Linked DNA regions of Saccharomyces cerevisiae S288C. The gene in region 2 interacts genetically with the main gene of each other region. Each region holds a gene or a part of one and is shown on either strand. Other genes may lie near its edges.

The links. A genetic interaction does not mean that the proteins touch.
Region 1: mutations in MGL2 (region 2) and EMA35 together harm fitness more than expected from each alone (negative genetic interaction), as found in Saccharomyces cerevisiae (2 studies listed by BioGRID).
Region 3: mutations in MGL2 (region 2) and BPT1 together harm fitness more than expected from each alone (negative genetic interaction), as found in Saccharomyces cerevisiae (2 studies listed by BioGRID).

What each region holds. Positions count from the first base shown.
Region 1 is NC_001135.5:300,771-305,950, reverse strand, and holds EMA35 (Ema35p), read left to right. Parts: upstream 1-3,729; coding exon 3,730-4,680; downstream 4,681-5,180. Other genes in the region: YCR102C (uncharacterized protein), read left to right, coding at 484-1,590; YCR101C (uncharacterized protein), read left to right, coding at 2,921-3,469; YCR099C (uncharacterized protein), read left to right, coding at 4,652-5,119.
Region 2 is NC_001145.3:683,437-691,163, reverse strand, and holds MGL2 (putative carboxylic ester hydrolase), read right to left. Parts: upstream 3,649-7,727; coding exon 2,299-3,648; downstream 1-2,298. Other genes in the region: EFR3 (Efr3p), read left to right, coding at 1-469; DML1 (Dml1p), read right to left, coding at 654-2,081; YMR209C (uncharacterized protein), read left to right, coding at 3,880-5,253; ERG12 (mevalonate kinase), read right to left, coding at 5,366-6,697; acetyl-CoA carboxylase HFA1, read left to right, coding at 7,600-7,727. UniProt on the Saccharomyces cerevisiae protein: Converts monoacylglycerides (MAG) to free fatty acids and glycerol. Has a preference for palmitoyl-MAG. Does not play a significant role in ethyl ester biosynthesis. Also possesses ester hydrolase and low but persistent TAG lipase activity.
Region 3 is NC_001144.5:112,708-121,611, reverse strand, and holds BPT1 (ATP-binding cassette bilirubin transporter BPT1), read right to left. Parts: upstream 5,181-8,904; coding exon 501-5,180; downstream 1-500. Other genes in the region: EMC6 (Emc6p), read right to left, coding at 1-290. UniProt on the Saccharomyces cerevisiae protein: Cooperates for the ATP-dependent vacuolar transport of bilirubin and glutathione conjugates.

The DNA of each region.
Region 1 (5,180 bases), on a different chromosome or scaffold from region 2:
GTTTCCGAGATAGAAAGTGCGGTAGTAGAGAAGAACAATAAACGTATCAAACTTTGCGCAGTCATGGAATTTCCAGGAAACATTTTTAGGTTTTCATATGACAGCAGTTCCTGTCCGAGAGCTGTGCCTTTCTTGTCTCAGCTGACTAAGATGTCTCGGATCCGCCCGGCTGGCGCGCGGCTCCGTCTAGTGGGATAGGCTTTCAACACATAGGAAACCCTTCAGATGATGAGAACACATCGAATCCCAGAGAGTAATATCACCAAGAATAAAGCAACCATGATAGACAATATTACTAAGTGTTCCTCAACAGATATTGAGAAAAGTTCTTATAAAGCGGGCAGGCTTTTTTCTATTTTTTTCTTTTTCTTTATCTAGCTTAAGATCCTTCTAACCATATTCTATAAAATGGCAAGCTGAATACAGATTATCAACGACAATTACATATAACCTACAAACAGGCAAGTTGCAATTCCAGAAACCATGAAGGCTGTCGTCATTGAAGACGGTAAAGCGGTTGTCAAAGAGGGCGTTCCCATTCCTGAATTGGAAGAAGGATTCGTATTGATTAAGACACTCGCTGTTGCTGGTAACCCGACTGATTGGGCACACATTGACTACAAGGTCGGGCCTCAAGGATCTATTCTGGGATGTGACGCTGCCGGCCAAATTGTCAAATTGGGCCCAGCCGTCGATCCTAAAGACTTTTCTATTGGTGATTATATTTATGGGTTCATTCACGGATCTTCCGTAAGGTTTCCTTCCAATGGTGCTTTTGCTGAATATTCTGCTATTTCAACTGTGGTTGCCTACAAATCACCCAATGAACTCAAATTTTTGGGTGAAGATGTTCTACCTGCCGGCCCTGTCAGGTCTTTGGAAGGGGCAGCCACTATCCCAGTGTCACTGACCACAGCTGGCTTGGTGTTGACCTATAACTTGGGCTTGAACCTGAAGTGGGAGCCATCAACCCCACAAAGAAACGGCCCCATCTTATTATGGGGCGGTGCAACTGCAGTAGGTCAGTCGCTCATCCAATTAGCCAATAAATTGAATGGCTTCACCAAGATCATTGTTGTGGCTTCTCGGAAACACGAAAAACTGTTGAAAGAATATGGTGCTGATCAACTATTTGATTACCATGATATTGACGTGGTAGAACAAATTAAACACAAGTACAACAATATCTCGTATTTAGTCGACTGTGTCGCGAATCAAAATACGCTTCAACAAGTGTACAAATGTGCGGCCGATAAACAGGATGCTACCGTTGTCGAATTAACTAATTTGACAGAAGAAAACGTCAAAAAGGAGAATAGGAGGCAAAATGTCACTATTGACAGAACAAGACTGTATTCAATAGGCGGCCATGAAGTACCATTTGGTGGCATTACTTTCCCTGCTGACCCAGAAGCCAGGAGAGCTGCCACCGAATTCGTCAAGTTCATCAATCCAAAGATTAGTGATGGGCAAATTCACCATATTCCAGCAAGGGTCTATAAGAACGGGCTTTACGATGTTCCTCGTATCCTGGAAGACATTAAAATCGGTAAGAACTCTGGTGAAAAACTAGTTGCCGTATTAAACTAGATGACGAACAGATATTATTTTTCTTTTGTATACACAGTTATTACGTATGTTAGAGTGACTTGGTTTTTTTTTTTTTAATGAAATTGTTTGTTATTGATCACGCCTTGTAGGGGAAACAGATGAGAACAGTGAAAATCATAACTCATTATGTGATTTGTTGTGCGTCACCCTTCCATGATTATATATCCTTACTATCTACTATCCAACTACTACATATCTATTGAACTCATATGTACCAAGCACATAAAATTATGCACCTATTTCCATTGGCAAAGACTTGGCGAAATTTAATACACTGTAATAATATCCGGCGAAGCTCTTTAAGAATTCTTACCTATAATAGCGGCTCGCTGTCCGAACGATTGCGCCGCACTTTTCTGCCTCTTACATTCCCTTTTCCTAAGGCGATAAGCAGGCTGAATGGAAACTACGATATAACGCAGTAGAGGTCCCCCAAGAGCTGGAAAGAAAATATTGGTTTGATAGCCAGCACTATTCTATCCAGTGGGCTCTTGTACCATTTTCTGTGGTATGGCTTTGATTCAACTGCATACGTAGTTAACGCGATCAGCCGCACATGGGCATTATCATTTTCAGGGGTACTGGTAAACCCTATTGTTTAGAAAGAATACCTGGTAAGCGGGTCTGTCGAGTCTTTCCCACTAATTTTGAAGAAAAAATCTTTACCTAGTTTGAGAATAATCGTGGCGTTCGTAACATCACGAGGTGAGAGAGACCAGTTAGGTAAGGGTATGCCAATAAAAGGTTATTGATACTTCAACGAATCTTCATATTAAAAGTGCCTTCACCAGAATAAAATTCTAACGTCATCCTAAAAAGCATCAATTGGACATAGTGAGGGAAAGTTTTCACCATTTAAAATCTATTCTGCAGAATACCATTCTAGACTATGATCCCTTAAAGATTCCCATTCTTTAAATATACAAATCAGGTTCAACAGCGTATCTTTATGGTATTATCGTACTACTGGCGACATTAGCAAATCCAAGTATCCTAACTAGGTTTCTAGTCTTATCTCTTGGTTTTCTCCATTAGATGGTAAACACGTTACCTTGATGGCTGTACAGGAAGTGAACATGGTCAACTCAAAGTCACCGGACTCAAAATAATTGCAATTACCTAGACTGGATATTTTTAGAATATTATGAGAATATTTTTAGAATACTTGCAACCCAAAATATATTTAAATGCCGCCAATTTGCAACCAAAAGATTATCCGCTACCTTTTTTTTAGTCATTGAATTGTAGCATAAAGTTCCGAGCTTTGAAAAAAAACTTTGAACTAAGAAAAGGTAAGAGATCCTCAATTATGATATTACTTCATGCCATATATACTCTTTGGGTAATTATACTACTTCCGCTACTCAATGCAGAGAAATTTGTCCCAAAAGTAACGGAGGCTCCTATAGAAACATCATTTAATCTAGTGAGTTTTGATGATTCCAACACTTCTATCAGATTAGATGGTTGGGGGGTTGTATGGATAAGTTTCGACGCTGGAGAAAATTGGGAAACGGTCAAAGAAATTGAAGAGCGCATTTTCAGATTTACTGTTGATCCTTTCCATGGACAGGAAAGAGGTTTCGCTTTTATATGTGAATCACCCAAATTCTACATTACCGACGACCGTGGGGAGTCATGGAGGGCTTTAACTATACCCTCATCAGAAGAATATTTAGATGGCGACTGTTTTATAACTACTCATCCTAGAAACAAAGAACTTCTTATTGCGAATTGCTATAGCTATATGATAGACGCAGACGTTTTATATGACCCAAGTGAAATTTACTTGAGCAATGATGGGAATCCTTTTTTAAAATTAAACCTTCCTTGGAAAAGAAAAAAGACGACGATATAACAACTTAAAGCTGTCATTTCATTAAGTCTAGCAAGGATTCTGACTTTACTGGTAATGATACTTCGATACTCTGTTTGTTCTCTAACCGTGAATACGATGAAGAATATCGCTTAACTGCTACCTACACACAGTTGGCTTTCAGTAGTGATGGAGGCAAAACGTTTAAAGATTTTGATGAATTTAAAGATAAGATTGTTACTCAATACAAGATATTGAAGTCATATGTGGTCGTTTTAACGCAAGATGACGGGCATAACGAGATGTCATCTACGGACATCTGGATATCCAATGATGCATCTACTTTTCAAAAGGCACAGCTGCCTACTCAATTACGGCACGTCAAAGTGATTAAAATTCGTGAAGATTCTATCGGAAGGATCATCCTTCTTATATCGACAGAAATCACAAATGAGGAAAATGCTGATCCAGATCTCTCAGAGATTTTCATATCAGATTCGCAAGGGTTGAAATTCTCACCTGTTGAATGGACACCAAACCATCAGTTTGGAAATTTTAGGCTCACTTTTCCTGATTTCTTGAAAGGGACAATATTTGGATCGTTTCATCCTTCCATTGACTATTCTAATCACCAAGTAAACTATACTGAAAATATAGCCGGAGGAGAAACCAAAATATCCGTTGATAACGGCCTCACATGGTCAAATTTGAAAGTTGTTGATGAAGAAAATGCCGATTCGTTCGGCTGTGATATCACTAGGCCTGAGAGATGTTCACTTCAGGGTTATTTTTACAATCTAAAACTTTCAAATCCTTCTGCTGGGATCATATTAATGACAGGTTCTGTTGGCGATGACAATGAATTCGATCGGAAGGACCGAAAAACTTTCATTTCTAGAGACGGTGGTCTAACATGGAGGGTGGCCCATAATTCTTCTGGATTATATGCTACTGGTGATCTGGGAAATATTATTGTATATATCCCGTCTCCTTCATATAAAGATGGTGATGTACAATCCAAACTTTATTTTTCCTTGGACCAAGGTAGAACATGGAATCAATATGAGCTTGTTGACGCTTTATTTTATATCCATCCATTAGAGTTGATTAATACAACGCCAGATGGATCAGGCTCAAAATTTATTTTAAGCGGACATCTCATTACTACGGCTAGTCAAGAAGGAAACAACACCAACATCTCATATATTGCAAGAAGTGTCCTGTATGCGATCGATTTTTCTGCTGCATTTTGACTATAAAACGTGTGAAGAGGAAGATTTCGAAGACTGGAATTTGGCAGATGGGAAATGCCTTAATGGCGCCAAATACATGTATAAAAGGAGGAAACAGGACGCCCGTTGTTTGGTAAAAAGGACATTCAAAGATATGATTTTGCATGAAATACCTTGTGACAGTTGTACTGAATCCGACTACGAATGCTCTTCTGAATTTGTTAGAGATGCAAAGGGTGACTGTATACCAGATTATGATCAGATTGCCCTTTCCGATATATGTGACAAAGCTAATGGCGAAACTGTATCATTAGAGCCATTACAATTAATTAAAGGAGATAAATGCAAAAAGCCCATGGAAATTGAGGCCATGAACATTCCATGTGAAAAAATCCTGAGGGAGAGCTCGAATGGTAAGAAAATAGCAACCATTGAAAACAAGTTTGACTTTGAAATTTAATTTTATCAATATTTCGATACAGTTTTGGGTGAATCTTTTATCATGCTTAAGTCAATAGAAG
Region 2 (7,727 bases):
TAATGCAAAAGGTAGTATCTATAGGTTTGTTGCTGAGGACGCAAGATCATGGAAAACAATGAGAGCCACCGCACCAAAAGTTAGCGATTTGAAAAAAACTATGAATGAAAAGAATATTCCAAATAATATGAAAAGAGATGGCTCTTTTCGGGGTTCTCAATCAGTGAAATCTCGTGTCACTAATATCACATTTTTATTAAATGAATTGAAAACTTTTTCAGATGACGCGAATAAAATCAAAGATCCTGATGAGGAGAATATTGTTGGCTTGGATAAAATCGACGTTGCTAGATCAAATTCTCTGCGACTTGCACCAATATCTAGTCTTTCTGATCGCAGTAGCATTGGAAATAGAAAATCCTTTTTGCAAAAAACAGCAACTGGTGAAAATCAAAACGATGACTTTAAAGACGCAAATGAAGATTTACATTCTTTAAGTTCAAGAGGTAAAATTTTCTCCTCCACTTGAGAAATTAAGTTTTTGACGGACAGCTGTGGATGCTTTCAAGGGCAAGAGTGATATAGCATGACTTTCTAATTAATGTAATTTACGTAGATATAGATCAAATGGCGAAGTAAAAACTTCGAAAAAGATGGAAGAAGTCCTGTTTGCCTCAACTGGAGAAAGGAAATACGTAGCTGCAAACTGCTTATCACATATCGTCATCACCAGAATCTTCGTCTTCATACCACCCAGATTCGTACGCTGAGGCGTAATCGGAAAGTTCATTTTTCAATTCTTCTCTGTCACTATCATTTTTGAAGTACCTTACCACAAACTCATTCCAATGTTTGAATATATCTCGATTTTTTTCAGATGATTCTAATTCCAAAACAAATTCACGATCATTGGAAAATTCTGTCGGTATCGTATCAGATGGAAAATACCTGTGTGTATACATTTCAATCATCTTACTCCGTGAATCAGGTTCGGAATGATGTTTATGCGTTTGATTTCCTCTATCAATGAAACTTTTTGAAAATATGTGAGTAGAATTTGGTTTGTGGCTATTCTTGAAAGGAAGTACTCGAGAACAGAATGAGTAATCGGTGTCACCGATAACCATGCCAGTGACCATATTTCGCGACGAATATCCTAAGGTAATGGCAGTTGTTAGATAATCCATTGTCTTTCTTTGTTCAAGATTGCTTTGGGAAATTGTCGCATTTATAGAATCAAATATCCTACAGCTCTTTCCAGCAGTTTCCCAATTAGTTAGTCCAGGAGCAGCATACAATGGGAAGTAAAGATCGGATTCTTGCATCATATTTATTGTGCTTCTTAATTTGTTCGAAATGATCGGGAGCCATTTCTTTGAAAGTCTTTTCATAGGGAAGTCATCTGTGAATGGATCATCTTCATTGTGTCCCCATGAAAAGACCGCCTTTTTAGGTAATTCATTCCTTAATTCCACCAGTAGAGCACTAGAAAACCCGCCCCATCCACTCTCCATATCACTTACAAGATTGAAGCCTTGCAGGGTGTCACATTTTTCCAATTCTCTATGCAAATTTCCATCAAAAAACTCTTGCAAGTAATTTTCGGTAAATTCGTCATAACCAATGGAATACCTGTCAAACTTTCGCTCCCCCAAGTTTTGAAAGTCAGGTTGGTTTGGATTTTCAGTGTCATGGTACCAATTTCTCAAAATATTGAAACTTGAAGGACCATAGATAAGTTTAGAATAGTCAGACCAATACATCGTATTTTCTCTGTTCAAACAAGGCAGCGGTGCTCCTGCATCTAGAGAACTCTGATATTCGGATTTAGGTATTCTTGGATGAGTCTTTATAACTGTTTGCTCCTTGAATTTGTCTTCATTGCCGAAATGATAGTCTTGGCTTTCTGAATATTGATATGTTCCTAGTGAACCATTACCTGTACGGGCATCCCAAAGTAAGGCACGTGGTGCATATGAAATTGTTTTTGAAACTTTATCTACAACCGAATTCAGAAAAATTTTGGAGTCATTGACTTGTTGTTCTTTAGACAATTGTAAATAGCCCTCTTGTATATTGAAGAATTGAGTAGTCAAATGGTTTGCTCTCTGCGAAACCGATATCGTTACTACTTCATGCATTTTTTATTCTTGTCTGCCAATTATATATGTAATTTTAACAATTAACCCTCTTCTTCCAAGGTTTTAATTCATCGCATCGATTATATTTTGTTCCATTCGAAATTTTCCATTTTAAGTTTGGCGAAGCTTTTCACGTTTTCATTCAGAAATAATGATGTCGAACATCAAAAAAAAAAATTATCAGGTTACACATCTAAAAAGTTGACTTATTTACAAACTAATTCGCGCGAAAGGTTGTGGCTATGGGTTCGCAATTAGGATCTGGGAGTTGAACATTTTCCAAGTCAGGTTTTAAGCCCTTTACAGTAATTTCGTCGTGAAATATTTTCAAAAATCTGCATAAGGGTTCTGCGTACCACCTTCTGCCGGATCTGTCTTTGAACCATCCAACATGCCCCCCCGTCGAAGTTTCTAGAAGCAAAGTGTATGGATTGGATTTTATTTGGTCTATAGGAAGATCACCTCCGACAATTGGGTCATCCTGAGCATGCAAAGCTATAAAAGGAGTTCTGATCCCGGGTATTCTTTTATATGATGAAGCATTCTTGTAATACTCCTCTGCATTTTTATATCCAAACATTGGGCCTGTCAACAAGTTATCAAATTGCCTCACAGTGCGAATCTTTTTTAAATGCTTCTCGATAACATCTTTGAAATCAGGGTTTTCTTCCAGAGTAGAGAGATGGTTTCGAACCATGCGTAGTAAGTTGTGACCCAAAGCAGGTGAATAAAATCGTGACCCCATTGGTGTACTGTTAATAAAATATGCAGAGTTGTACAGGTCAAATGGATTACTCACGGAAATAGCACATTCGATTTTAGTACGATCTGACTCTTCTCCCAAGTAATTTGTCATTATAGATGCGCCTAACGAAAATCCCATCATATAAAACTTTCTATTCGGAAATCTTTTCCTCAAGTCATTAACACAATATCTTATATCATTGGTCCAACCACCGTTGTATAATAGCGGCGTTGTAATTGCAGAATAACAACATCCTCTAGCATTAAACACGCATGCTTCAAAGTCATACTTCGTGGTGATTTCATGAACAATTGCCCTCACGTAGCTTTCCCTCGAACCCCCTGTTAATCCATGGAGAATAATAAGCATAGGCTTAGCATCGTCTGAGTTCAATTTAGGATCATCAGGGGAATAGTACGAATATCTTCGTTTCAAGTTTCCGTTAAATACCGGTTGACTTGTCGGCACGTATTCTTTTTCCACTTTTCTTCTTTTGGTACTTCTACCATTTACAGCAAAATCCACAGTCCCTTCTCCCCCATGTGGGTATTTGATTATCATTCTTTTATATTGAACTTTGTATATATTGTCAAAGTGTCTAAAGGAACCATATGCAGTTTGTAAATGGCCATTGACCAGTAAACCATATAAAGTGTCAGTAGCACCGTCAGCTAATTCAGGAACTTTAGTATCTATTAGCTCAGGGATGGTGATCTCTTTATTTTCATTCTCTCGTTTATCGGTGGACTTGAATGCAATAGGATCCTCAGGGACCTCTTGATGAACAATCAAAAAATTAGGTAACAATTCTTTTAGACGCATATCGTCTCTGGAAGTTTACCAGCGTTTGTATAATACAGTTTTAAAATAACAAAGTAGTTGGTTTTTATCGAACTTCAAATAATTGAGACCCTTTTAAGATCCACAATACTTTTCGGGGTTAGGTAAGAAGACCCGTAAAAAAAAAAAAACGTAAACGATGCTGTACAATTAACAAATTTTTCAGGAAATAGAAGAGGTAAAAATATTGATATACGAAGTTGAGGAGCGCCAATGGTTAGCTCACTGGCATCAAATATAATTCTAGCCCTTGTGGTAGTCCTGATGACACTGCTAAGGCAAAATAAGCCGTTGCAGAGGTGGTTTGTATCATATGTTGAAAAGCTATTATCAAGAAAATCAAATCTGGCCCAAAAAGTCAGCGTTTTATCGCCCTCCTTAAAATTGGTTGATGTTGAGAAATCAATATCTGCCGATCAATCGAATCTTTCTAAAATTAATTATCAGATTCCCACTCTTCCTGATCTTACGGGGAATTTAATCCGTTTACATGAGTATCGAGCAAGAGGAGAAGGCTATAATGGCCTTTTATTTCGGAGAGCAAGACAATTAAATGGAATTTCAGAAGATCAGTTGCAAAAATTAGGCTACTTCACCAAATTAATGAAAAATAATGAGGGTATCCGAGAAAACGCAAGAGTTATTGACAAGATAATTGAGTTCACTTTAGGGAAATTGATTCATTCCAACGAACACGATGAAGAATTTACAGAGGAAATTGAAAAGATATGCGCGGAACACGGCTATAAGATTAAAGATGGTCACCTTATTCAATTGAATCCTGACTTCGTATTTCCAATAGTTTCGTCTCGAGGCAGCCAAAGTGTGGTCCATGAAGCATTAGCACATTTGTGTCGTGATTTCAGCTCTTACTATAGTGTGGAAAGAGATCCTTTACAAAATTTTATCATTAGTAGAATCAACCATCATGTGATTAGTGCCGGGGACATGAAAGAGAAAATTCTTATCGTGACCCCAGGGGCTGGTGTGGGTGGCCTATCCCATACTCTTGCCACCACTTTCCCCAAAATACAGGTGGACTCCATCGAATTATCAGCCTTGATGTACATATGTAACCTATTTGCACTCGAATATAAGCATGACGTTAAGATACGTCCTTTTGTACAACAATATTCATGCCAGACAGTGTTTGATAATCAGTTGAGAAGTTTATCGGCAGATTTGAGCAAAGTTGGCCACCGCAGTAATCTGGACCCACTATGGGGGGACTTCACACGATATTCTCCCATTTCCAAAGACTATGATAAAATTATCATTTGTAGCGCATATTTCATAGATACCGCGGAAAATATGTTTGAATATCTATCCAGTATTGAAGCACTAAAGAAATACTGTAAAGAGCTGCATTGGGTCAATGTAGGTCCATTAAAGTATGGCACCAAACCCTTGGTCCAATTTACAGGAGATGAATTAAGTCGGCTGCGTAAAATTCGCGGGTGGAAGGACCTTGTGGAGGAATATGAAGTTGATAGCTCAAAGGGATTGAATGGCTATTTAACTGATTATGAGTCAATGTATCAAGGATACTATGGTCTGCTTAAATTTCATTCTGTCTTCGAAAGCTGAATTGATACTACGAAAAATTTTTTTTTGTTTCTCTTTCTATCTTTATTACATAAAACTTCATACACAGTTAAGATTAAAAACAACTAATAAATAATGCCTATCGCAAATTAGCTTATGAAGTCCATGGTAAATTCGTGTTTCCTGGCAATAATAGATCGTCAATTTGTTGCTTTGTGGTAGTTTTATTTTCAAATAATTGGAATACTAGGGATTTGATTTTAAGATCTTTATTCAAATTTTTTGCGCTTAACAAACAGCAGCCAGTCCCACCCAAGTCTGTTTCAAATGTCTCGTAACTAAAATCATCTTGCAATTTCTTTTTGAAGCTGTCAATTTGCTCTTGAGTAATGTCTCTTCGTAACAAAGTCAAAGAGCAACCGCCGCCACCAGCACCGGTAAGTTTTGTGGAGCCAATTCTCAAATCATCGCTCAGATTTTTAATAAGTTCTAATCCAGGATGAGAAACACCGATTGAGACAAGCAGTCCATGATTTATTCTTATCAATTCCAATAGTTGTTCATACAGTTCATTATTAGTTTCTACAGCCTCGTCATCGGTGCCTTTACATTTACTTAACTTAGTCATGATCTCTAAGCCTTGTAGGGCACATTCACCCATGGCATCTAGAATTGGCTTCATAACTTCAGGAAATTTCTCGGTGACCAACACACGAACGCGAGCAACAAGATCTTTTGTAGACCTTGGAATTCTAGTATAGGTTAGGATCATTGGAATGGCTGGGAAATCATCTAAGAACTTAAAATTGTTTGTGTTTATTGTTCCATTATGTGAGTCTTTTTCAAATAGCAGGGCATTACCATAAGTGGCCACAGCGTTATCTATTCCTGAAGGGGTACCGTGAATACACTTTTCACCTATGAAGGCCCATTGATTCACTATATGCTTATCGTTTTCTGACAGCTTTTCCAAGTCATTAGATCCTATTAACCCCCCCAAGTAGGCCATAGCTAAGGCCAGTGATACAGAAATAGAGGCGCTTGAGCCCAACCCAGCACCGATGGGTAAAGTAGACTTTAAAGAAAACTTAATATTCTTGGCATGGGGGCATAGGCAAACAAACATATACAGGAAACAAAACGCTGCATGGTAGTGGAAGGATTCGGATAGTTGAGCTAACAACGGATCCAAAAGACTAACGAGTTCCTGAGACAAGCCATCGGTGGCTTGTTGAGCCTTGGCCAATTTTTGGGAGTTTACTTGATCCTCGGTGATGGCATTGAAATCATTGATGGACCACTTATGATTAAAGCTAATGTCCGGGAAGTCCAATTCAATAGTATCTGGTGCAGATGACTCGCTTATTAGCAGGTAGGTTCTCAACGCAGACACACTAGCAGCGACGGCAGGCTTGTTGTACACAGCAGAGTGTTCACCAAAAATAATAACCTTTCCCGGTGCAGAAGTTAAGAACGGTAATGACATATTGACAGTTTTCTATACGTAGATATAAATTTGCAAGTTAGGACTAAGAAGCGCACCAGCTAACCAGGAAGTAATATCATGGCTAACTAACCTTTATAGGCATATCGTTGTATCGTTCTTCGATACCCTGTCGAAGATTTCAGTGCGACAGCCAAACGAGGCCCGAAAATTGTCAGTACAATTACAACCGATAAAATACACGTTGAGACAAAACTAGCACAAAACGCCTCTTTAAACATAAATGTGTACGCATTCTGAAAGTGAGATAGAGTACAAGGCTATCGCTAGCTTTCCACGGGAGAAGTAGTAGGAACCTCTCTTTTTATTGCTTATGACAGTAATAATAGCATCATTCATCAATGTTTCCGTTAGGGTAACTAAAATGGGTGGGCGGCAGATGACAAGAAAAGATGAATAATGAAGAATGATAAAGAAGAAGTCATCTTGGGTAGAAAGGGAAGACAATTACACACGGCCAAAGCTGGGGGGCTCGCCGGATACATTCTCACTTTTACATTACCATATTCACAATTACTTGCATTCGAATAGGACAGTACAAGCTCGCGTTATATTTGGATCCTTATCGATTCTATAATATAACGGGCAGCCAGATAGTACGGTTGAAAGGACAGCGCCCTGAATACAGAAAACGCATTTTTGCCCATTCGTATAGGCATTCATCTCGAATAGGTTTGAATTTTCCATCTAGAAGAAGGTATTCCAATTATGTGGATCGAGGCAATATTCATAAACATACTCGATTACCGCCCCAGTTCATAGGGCTAAATACTGTGGAAAGTGCCCAACCTTCAATATTAAGAGATTTTGTTGATTTACGTGGTGGACATACTGTTATTTCAAAGATCTTAATAGCAAACAATGGTATTGCTGCGGTGAAAGAAATGAGATCTATAAGAAAATGGGCGTACGAGACGTTCAATGATGAAAAAATCATTCAATTCGTGGTAATGGCGACACCTGATGATTTACACGCAAATTCGGAGTATATTAGAATGGCAGACCAATATGT
Region 3 (8,904 bases), on a different chromosome or scaffold from region 2:
ACAAAACCAGTTATCTCTCTAAAAAACGATTCGAAAAAAATGTCATGAAGTGGGCTTTGGTAGAACTTTCCTGGTTGAAGTTGACAGATCCAAACAATGTAAATGACATTAATCAAGTTGTACAGAATCAGGAACCAAATAAACCCATGGACTGACTCGATTTGCAAAAATCCTGCAACAAGCCCTAGAACAAGTGCTGAGCTATCTTGCACGAAAAGTAAACGCTTCTTATTATCAACCACATTCGCAGTTGCGTTTATCTGAGTAAATACCTCTTCATTTGAGCTCATTTCTATCTGTCTGCCGCTGTCTTTCTCGAACACTGCTTGAGCAATCCAACATAAGGTTAAAATTAAGTTGTATTTAGTTATATCTCTACTAGCTTCATTTGTGATTACCCGGGTTACTAGAAAGCATATAGAAAGAAAAAGAATTGGCGTGACCGTACATATTGCAGCGCATTAAATGTTCTATATCTTCATATATAATAATCAATGTCATTATTTCAAATACCCACCTTTCTCACAAAGACTGTAAAAAATAGACGTTTTATCGGATAACAATTTCGAGGGTGAATCGAATTCCCTCACACTACCCTGGTCAAGAACAATTATCTTATCACTGTCCAATACAGTGTCGATACGATGTGCAATTGTTAAGATGGTACGGTCCTTAAATTCTCTTCTTATAGTGTCTTGGATAATTTTATCGGTTTCCATATCCACAGAAGCCGTTGCTTCATCAAGGACCAATATTTTGGAACGGTTTAGCAGCGCTCTTGCCAAACATAGTAGTTGTCTTTGCCCCACTGACAAGTTACTACCGTTCTCATTAATCTTGACATCCAGAATATCATTAACATTGCCATCCTCTTCATTAGAATCATCACCTCTTGGTTTACTGTGCAGCATTTTTTCCAGATGAGGCTTTAAATGTGCCTGCTCAACAGCCCTTTTAAGTTCATCTTCTGAATAACGATTGAAAGGGTCCAAATTGGTCTTTACTGTACCTTCAAAAGCTTGTGCATCCTGAGGAATAATTGCCAAATGGCTTCTTAAATCGAACAGACCTATGTCGGATATATCAATGCCGTCAATAATAATTTTACCTTCGGTAGGTTCTAGTATTCTAAATAATGCCAGGCTCAGTGTAGACTTCCCTGCACCTGTTCTGCCAACAATCCCAACCTTTTCACATGGCTCAATCTTCACGTTAATATTATTCAGCACTGGATCCAAATTTTCTCTGTATTTTGTGGAATAGTTTTTGAATTCAATACCACCCTTTGATGGCCAATTTTCATCTGGCCTCTTTTCAGGGTTAATGGACTGTGCTTCAGGTGGTAATTCGCAGTACTCAACAATTCTCTCCACTGATACAATGTTGGTTTCAATCGTCACAGTTGTCCTTACAATCCAAGTCAATGAACCTGTAACCTCTAATGAATAGCTCATTAGTAGACCAACCATACCCGAACTTAGTTGCCTTTTAGTATTCATTGTTGCTAGTGCTAAGATTGCAGTAGCCAAAACAATTGTAGCACCAATAGTTTGCAATCTCACGGATAACCATCTATTCGTTGATCTAAAGTTGAAGACAAAATCAACGTTGTATTGGATTTTTTCATAATTTAGATAGATGAATCTCTCAAAATGATCGTATGCATCAATAATAGAATAACCGTTCAAGCTCTCACTCATTAAGGACATAATCGGAGAGTAAGATATACTGATCAATCTTTTTAGCTCCCTAGATAGCACAATGTAAAATGTTTGATAGTAAATATAGATAACCACCAAAAACATATTGAACACTAAAAACCATGGCATATTGTACCCGACTAATATAACAGTAACCAAATAGGTTAGTATTGATTTGAAAAAAAAGGAGAAAATGTACTGTAGATTACTGTCCACTGCATCCATATCAGATGAGAACCTGTTTATGATCCTTCCAACTGGTGTAGTCTCAAAGAAAGTCATAGGACTTCTAATTACAGATTTGGCCATGCTTTCATGCAGTTTCTTAGAACCCCTAATAGAACAATACAGTAGCATCATAATACTCCGTAAATTATTGAATGCGGCCGATGCTACTCCGATTAAGGAATACACACCAACAAACATCCAAACCCTTTCATTTGAACCATTTTTTTCATTAGATTCTGACCAGTACTTTAACCAAAAATTCTCTGCTAAGTCGAAAACCCTTGTTAATATCATAAACAAGAAAAATAAAACAACACCTAAAACTCCACAAGCCTTAATATACGCAAGATAAATCTTTGTTTTGACTCTTCCCACCTCTGTCTTCTCGGCCTTTTGCGCCGTTTTCTTCACGGAATCCAATTGTGCTCCCACAAAGGGTCTAGGTCTTAGCGTAGCTAGAGAAGCTCTTCTAGAATTGGCTTTGATTAGTTCTAATTCACTCTCAGTAACAACCTCATCCTCAGTTTCTGATTCAGTTACTTTAAGCTGCAGAGGTTCATCCACTTCACTTTCGGATCGGTGTTCAGTTTGGACATCGCTTTCATTTCCATTATCAATCGGAGAATCAAATTCCTCTAGTAATTTTTTCAGTTTTGAAGTATTGTTCTTACGGTTCATTACATCCTCATAATTCCCTTGTTCAACAATTTCACCGTTTTCTAGCGCATATATCATCTGCGAATGTTTTAAAATTGATACAGTATTGGTAGTTAAAATAATTGTTTTATTTTTTAATAAAGCCGTCTTTCCGATCAAAACATATTCAATAATATTTTTACTAACTTCTGCATCAACAGCAGATAAAATGTCATCCAACAAATAAATATCTGCTCTCGAGTACACCGCTCTGGCTAATGAAAGACGGGCCTTCTGACCGCCTGATAGGGAAATGCCCTTTTCACCTACCAAAGTTTCATCACCATCTGGTAGTATTTTCAAATCGGGTAGCAATTGACATGCTTTAATAGTGAGGTCATAATAATCTTGGTCGAACTTGTGACCAAATAGAATGTTTTCTCTTACAGATGCGTTCATTATCCAGGATTCTTGTGAACAGTAGGCTACAGACGATGATCTAATGATCAGTTTAGGTGGTATCGAGTCCCTAGAACCACTCATGCAAGGAAGTTGACCAAGAATTGCCTTCAAAAATGTTGATTTACCAGCTCCTACCCGACCAACAACACAAACTAAATCACCCCTTTTTGCTTCAAAATGATCGATATTCTTCAACGCAATTTGAGAAGATCCGATAATAGACTCTTCATCTGTCCTCAAATTATCTCCAGATTGGCTAGATGTTAATACTTCTTTTGATTTCCATAAAAATGTAATATTATTCATCTCTATAGCAGGTAACGCTCTTTCATCCGCTGAAGGATCAATACGTTCGATGAACGAATCATCAATTTCGTCACTAAGTAGGAATGACTTTAATCTTTCCATAGAAACGCTTGTCTCTATAATGGTATTTATCATGGATGGAACGGAATAGATGGCACTGTTCAAAATATTAAATAAAGATAATGAAGGGAAGACAATGGCAGGAGATAACGGAGAATCACTAAATAAAGAAAATAAGCCAAATGTGGAACATGTCACCATTAAAGGTACACAATTCCACGCAAAATATATCAGATTGCTCACTATACCAATTTTCCGAAAATTTTTCAACTCCATATCATTACGAACATGATTCAATCTTGCCATCATAGGTTCCTCCCAGGCGTATAATTTAATAGATTTTATAGCATTCAAAAGCTCTGTAATAGTCTTGATTCTCATGTCCTTATACTTCATTTGAGTTTTTGATAGCTTTTTTACCTTTCTAGATAAGAAGGCATTGATAGGCATCATAATAGCCATAGTAACCAACCCTCCAATAACAGCCTTTCCTAGCAACCAGTACAGGGAAGTTAATACAACAATAATCTGAATAGGAGCGCCAATAATGGTTTGGGCATTTTCGAAAAACCGCTGGATCCTTAACACATCCACAGACATCAAATTTAAGATGTCACCAGTAGATTTTTCGTTACGCTCTGCTAGCGTCAATCTTAAGGACTTCTGATACACTAAAGAAGCTAAAGAGCCTCTTATCCCCAAACCAGCCTCAAAAATTCCAATATAAAATTGATTGGTGAGGAACACAGAAACCACGCTGATTACGAAAAGGGTTAGAGCAATAAATACACCATTTAAAGGAGGATATTTAGAAGATGTTTCCGGGTTCAAACCATCTATGAATATCCGTAGAAACTGGGGCTGTACTACAGAAAGTAAATCAGATGTCGTTTCATACAGCATAGCCACAGAAATAGTCCTACCAAATGACTTCCAAATGGCCCTCCAAAGAGAATTTCTATTCAACCATTTTTCCAATTCCCAGTTAGCCTTAAATTCCTTACTTATCGACTTAATATTCAGATCTACTGGCGGCAATGGTAACTGGTTAGGATCTTTGATTTTCTTGTTACGGTAAGTTTCCACAATCAGTTTGTTCATCCAGATAAATGTAATATAGGATAGTACATGAACGGGGGGATACCACCCATTTTTCTTGTAGTATTCAGATAATTCGTTAATTGGCTCAAAAATGCATAGATCATAAATAAAAATTGCCACAGAATTGAAAAGAAGGAGCACTTCTAAAATCATAGCAGTTTGTCCGCTAATAACAGTAAGCCTTTCGTTACTAGAACCATGATAGTACCTCTGCAATATCAAGAAGAGCTGTAGAAGAATTTGAAACATGTAATAGAAAAGCTGGTTGCCCATTGAAAATGTACTTTTAAAATAAGCTAAGTATTGAGTAGGGAGAGAAATACCCAAATTGAAAAGGAGATTCAAGTACAGAGCCTTCTTTAGTATAAATGGATAAACCCTATCGCTAGATTGGGATACCAAGGCCAGTTCACAAATTATAAGCGTGGACTGAAAGCAAACATTGGTCAAATGCGTTAGATGTCGACTGTTGATTTTACTTGGTAATGTAGGAAAGTTCTTAAATCTGGGTGGTACTTTATTGTTCTTATAAAGTTTCCACAATTGATAGCTACCAATCAATAGGAAAAAGACGGCTTGCCAGGCGGATATTACTGATATAAAACATGGATTTAATGCATTTGTGCCACTATCTGGATATGGTCGGTATCCATAGGGGCACCCATCTACCACTTCTAGTGAAGACATTGTCTTTATATTAATCTTTTTTAGACAAAATTTTCTTTATGATCTCTTTAAAATTAACCACTGCTAATATATGTTCAGAAGAGACCTTGGTATAGAAAAGTATGCGAGGACAATCTGTTGATAGGTTCAGGAGTATGCGATTTTAATTTGGAGAACTGGCTGAATTAACTTATACTCAGGCGCAATTTTTTAAAGGGAATTGGAATTATCGCGATGTCGCTACGGCCAAAAATTTGAGGGCATTTAAATATTATGGTATGCTATAAATAAGCAAATATATAATAAACTAGGCAAACAATACGATCAACATTGTGGGATAGCAGCCGTCGGGCTTGATGACGGACATAGTTTACTATAGTGATCAATAAATAATATAACAGGAGAAAACAAACAAAATAATTAATCCACCGAGAGAAGGAAATCGAACATACGGCGCCGTTACTTAGAAACCTTGGGAGCTTTTTTCTTTGTCTTATGTAATTGAAATTTTGGAAATCTGTCTTTCTTAGTGGATGTTTTTCCTTCATCGGTTTGGTCATCCCTGGATTTTTCTTGTGATTTATTATTCGAATTGGAATTCGGAACGACTTTCTTTCTTGGTTTTGGTTCAATAATTAATGATAATTGGTATTGTTTCTCAATATGGGGGATGTTTTCCAATGAATTTGATATACATTCAATTACCGTCCGATCTTTAGTGAAATCATAATGTGTTTTCTTGAAATATATGATCTCTTGTAAGATATCAACAAGTCTGCTCCTTTTGTTGAAGTTTATATATTTCTTCTCATCATGGACACCCTTTAAACCATGTTCCAAGACAAGATAATCCGGATTTCCGGAATCAGTAAAGGTTAGATCAGATAAATAAACGCCGAAAAACGGTACGCAGGGAGCGCTATGTAAAGATTTCAGCTCGTTTCTGTAATTTATGAAATTTTTCTTGGGATCCATCAACTTGTTCAGTGACTGCAATAGATCTCTCGTTTGAGGAATAACTGCCTGCCAGGTTTTCTCTAAACGATAAATTGGTGAAGAATATAATGCTGAAATGATTGCAGTCATGGAAGAAAAGTTATTGAATTTCCTACAATATTCTGCGATAAAAATAAAATGAGAGAGTAGCTTGGCGCGCTTACTTTTATCAGCCTCCTTTACAACAGAGTAGGATATGAAATTTGTCAGTTTATTGGCAAAACTGATAAACTCGTTCAAACCCGGTGAAGCCCCATACGATTTTGTATACTTGTTCTTCCAAATTTTTTGTAAACAATCAAAAATGGTTATCTCACAATAAATTTCATGCTCTAGTATCGTTAATTGAGTGGCAAATAAAACTGGATCGACGGCCAAAATGGATTCCGTGGTAGAGTATAAAGTGCCCGAGTAATGGTCCTGGCAGATCTGTTGATCTAACGTTTTCATTGGTGCAGTCGCTTCTTGTATATTACCATGTTTAAACTTCTGATTGACCTCCTTTAGTAATTCCACAGATCCTGTTATATTTTCCTTGATTGCTACTTGCGCAAAATAATCCAGATTTAGGGTCGCAAGATCGGGCTCATCATAGCCCAGGAACCAATATTGCTTGAAAAAGGTTGTCATAATCTCAACCACCCTACATTTAACCGGTATAAGCTTTTTCGTCACCCATTCATTGTATTCTTCAAAGCACAAATCCTCTGGTGGATCCAAATTATATTGCGAAATCAAGTAGCTTAAAAACTCCGTTGTAGTAAAGATGCTTCTGAAAGTGATTAAAAAAGTAATATCGAAAAATAGATCCTTCTTTTCATTATCTGTCAAGTAAGAGATCAGTGCGTGTTTAGAACCACCTTTAATCCTATTGTTAGAGCCCCAAATCAGTTCACTGTCATACTCGCGCTGCAAATACCTCGGTAATTTGACTTGGCTGTCACGCCATTCGTCATTGTCTTTAGTATCTGAATCTGCATAAACAGCATTCGTGTCACTTTTTTCGGCAGTTTCACCGCCGTCATAGGACCCATAGCCTTCTTCCCCGCGCAATAGCAATTCCGTGATATTGTTTTTCATCATTCTAGCAGCATAATTTAACAAATTCTCTCTTTCTAGAATTAATTGATTCACGAACTCAATGGCTAGTTTAAGCACATCAAAATAGTCATCACAGGATTTTTTAAAAACGTGGGCGAGATTAAAAAACTTTAAATCATTGAAATCAGAATCTTGATTGATGAGGTTGTGGAAGAGAATAAGACTATCCGGGTCTGGCTCATATTCATCTTCCTCCTCTTGGATATCAGTATTTTGGCTCCCATTCTTCTTATCCTTGGCATTATCTAAATTCAAGGATGAAGGTTTCATTGGTTCATAATAACCGGTAGGCAAGTCGTTTTGCATTGGCGAGAAAACGAAAGGATCCTCTAATGTCAAATGCTGGGCGACAATTATAAATTTCACTACTACATCATGAAAATATTGCTTCATATTAAAATAGTCGGATAAGATATACGATAGGGATGATAAAGAATGTTTCAAAAACTCTTCATCTTCATCATCAATAGCGACATCTTCGTCAAAAACTCTATTCTCATCTCCCAACTCTCTCAAGTTTAGAAAAATAGTTAAATCTAGGTTTTCCAGAATATCAATTATAGGAATTGTTCCGCTTACTTCTTCGTAGGTTTTGAAATTCATTTCAAAATTCAACATTTTTGAAAAATTAGCCGTGTTACTGAGATATTCATTAGCACTTTTGATCATTTGTTTTAGTTTACCATCAAGCTGCTTCTTCCTGGCCCTTACAAGGCTTAGAGTTTCTTCATTTAGCGGGTATGGTTTTTTCCTTTTGGACCATATGGTGTCAGACTCATCGGAACTTCCTGACACATTAGAGAAAATGGTACCTCTTCTCCTTCTTTGAAACGGGGCTGATGGTGAATGGTGAGACGTTTCTGACGAGCATGAAGTGCCCTGTTTGGAAGCTGGAATTTCATCAATATTTTCCGCAACAATTCCTGAAGCACCAGCAACGGCTTTAATCATCTGTCTCGGTAGGTCATGGGACATATGCTGGTTGAGACGCTTACGCAAAAACGGGTTATTCCATGAAATTGTATTGAAAGAATCCTTGAAAAATCGAGGAGTCAATTGAGGCAGTATTGTAAGTTCGTTAGGATTTGAGAGGAAATGTAGTAAACGCAGTAGAAAATGAAATTTTTGGAAGGTTCCTAGGATTGACTGTAGAAGAGGGGATCTTCTTTCTGGATCCTTCTGGGAGGCTATGGCTTCTCTTTCTTCAAACAATGTGGAATGAAACCAAATATTTGCATTTATTGAAAACCTAGACAAGGTGTAAATTAGTTTTTTGAGGGTTTTTTTGAAACTATCTTCAACTAAACGGAGATTCCTGAAAAGCATATAAACATAGGTTATTTGAGCTGTTAATAAATCCAAGGAAGTTAGAAACTTTTCCCGTTCATTTGCCAATAGGTCGCGCTCTGTTAAATTAACATAATGACACACTAAGCGAGTGAGGTCATACCAATAGACGACATCACAATCATTGAGATAGAACAGATCGGGGCTTGACGTTATAGGCATCTTTTTACCAGCTATCTTCGATATTGCAGGAAAAGACGAATAGTCGTTCACGGTTTCAACTTGATTTTGTGGTAAATATGGTAACGTGCGACAATAAACATCTAAATCCTGGTTATAGTACAGCAGCTCACAGCAGCCT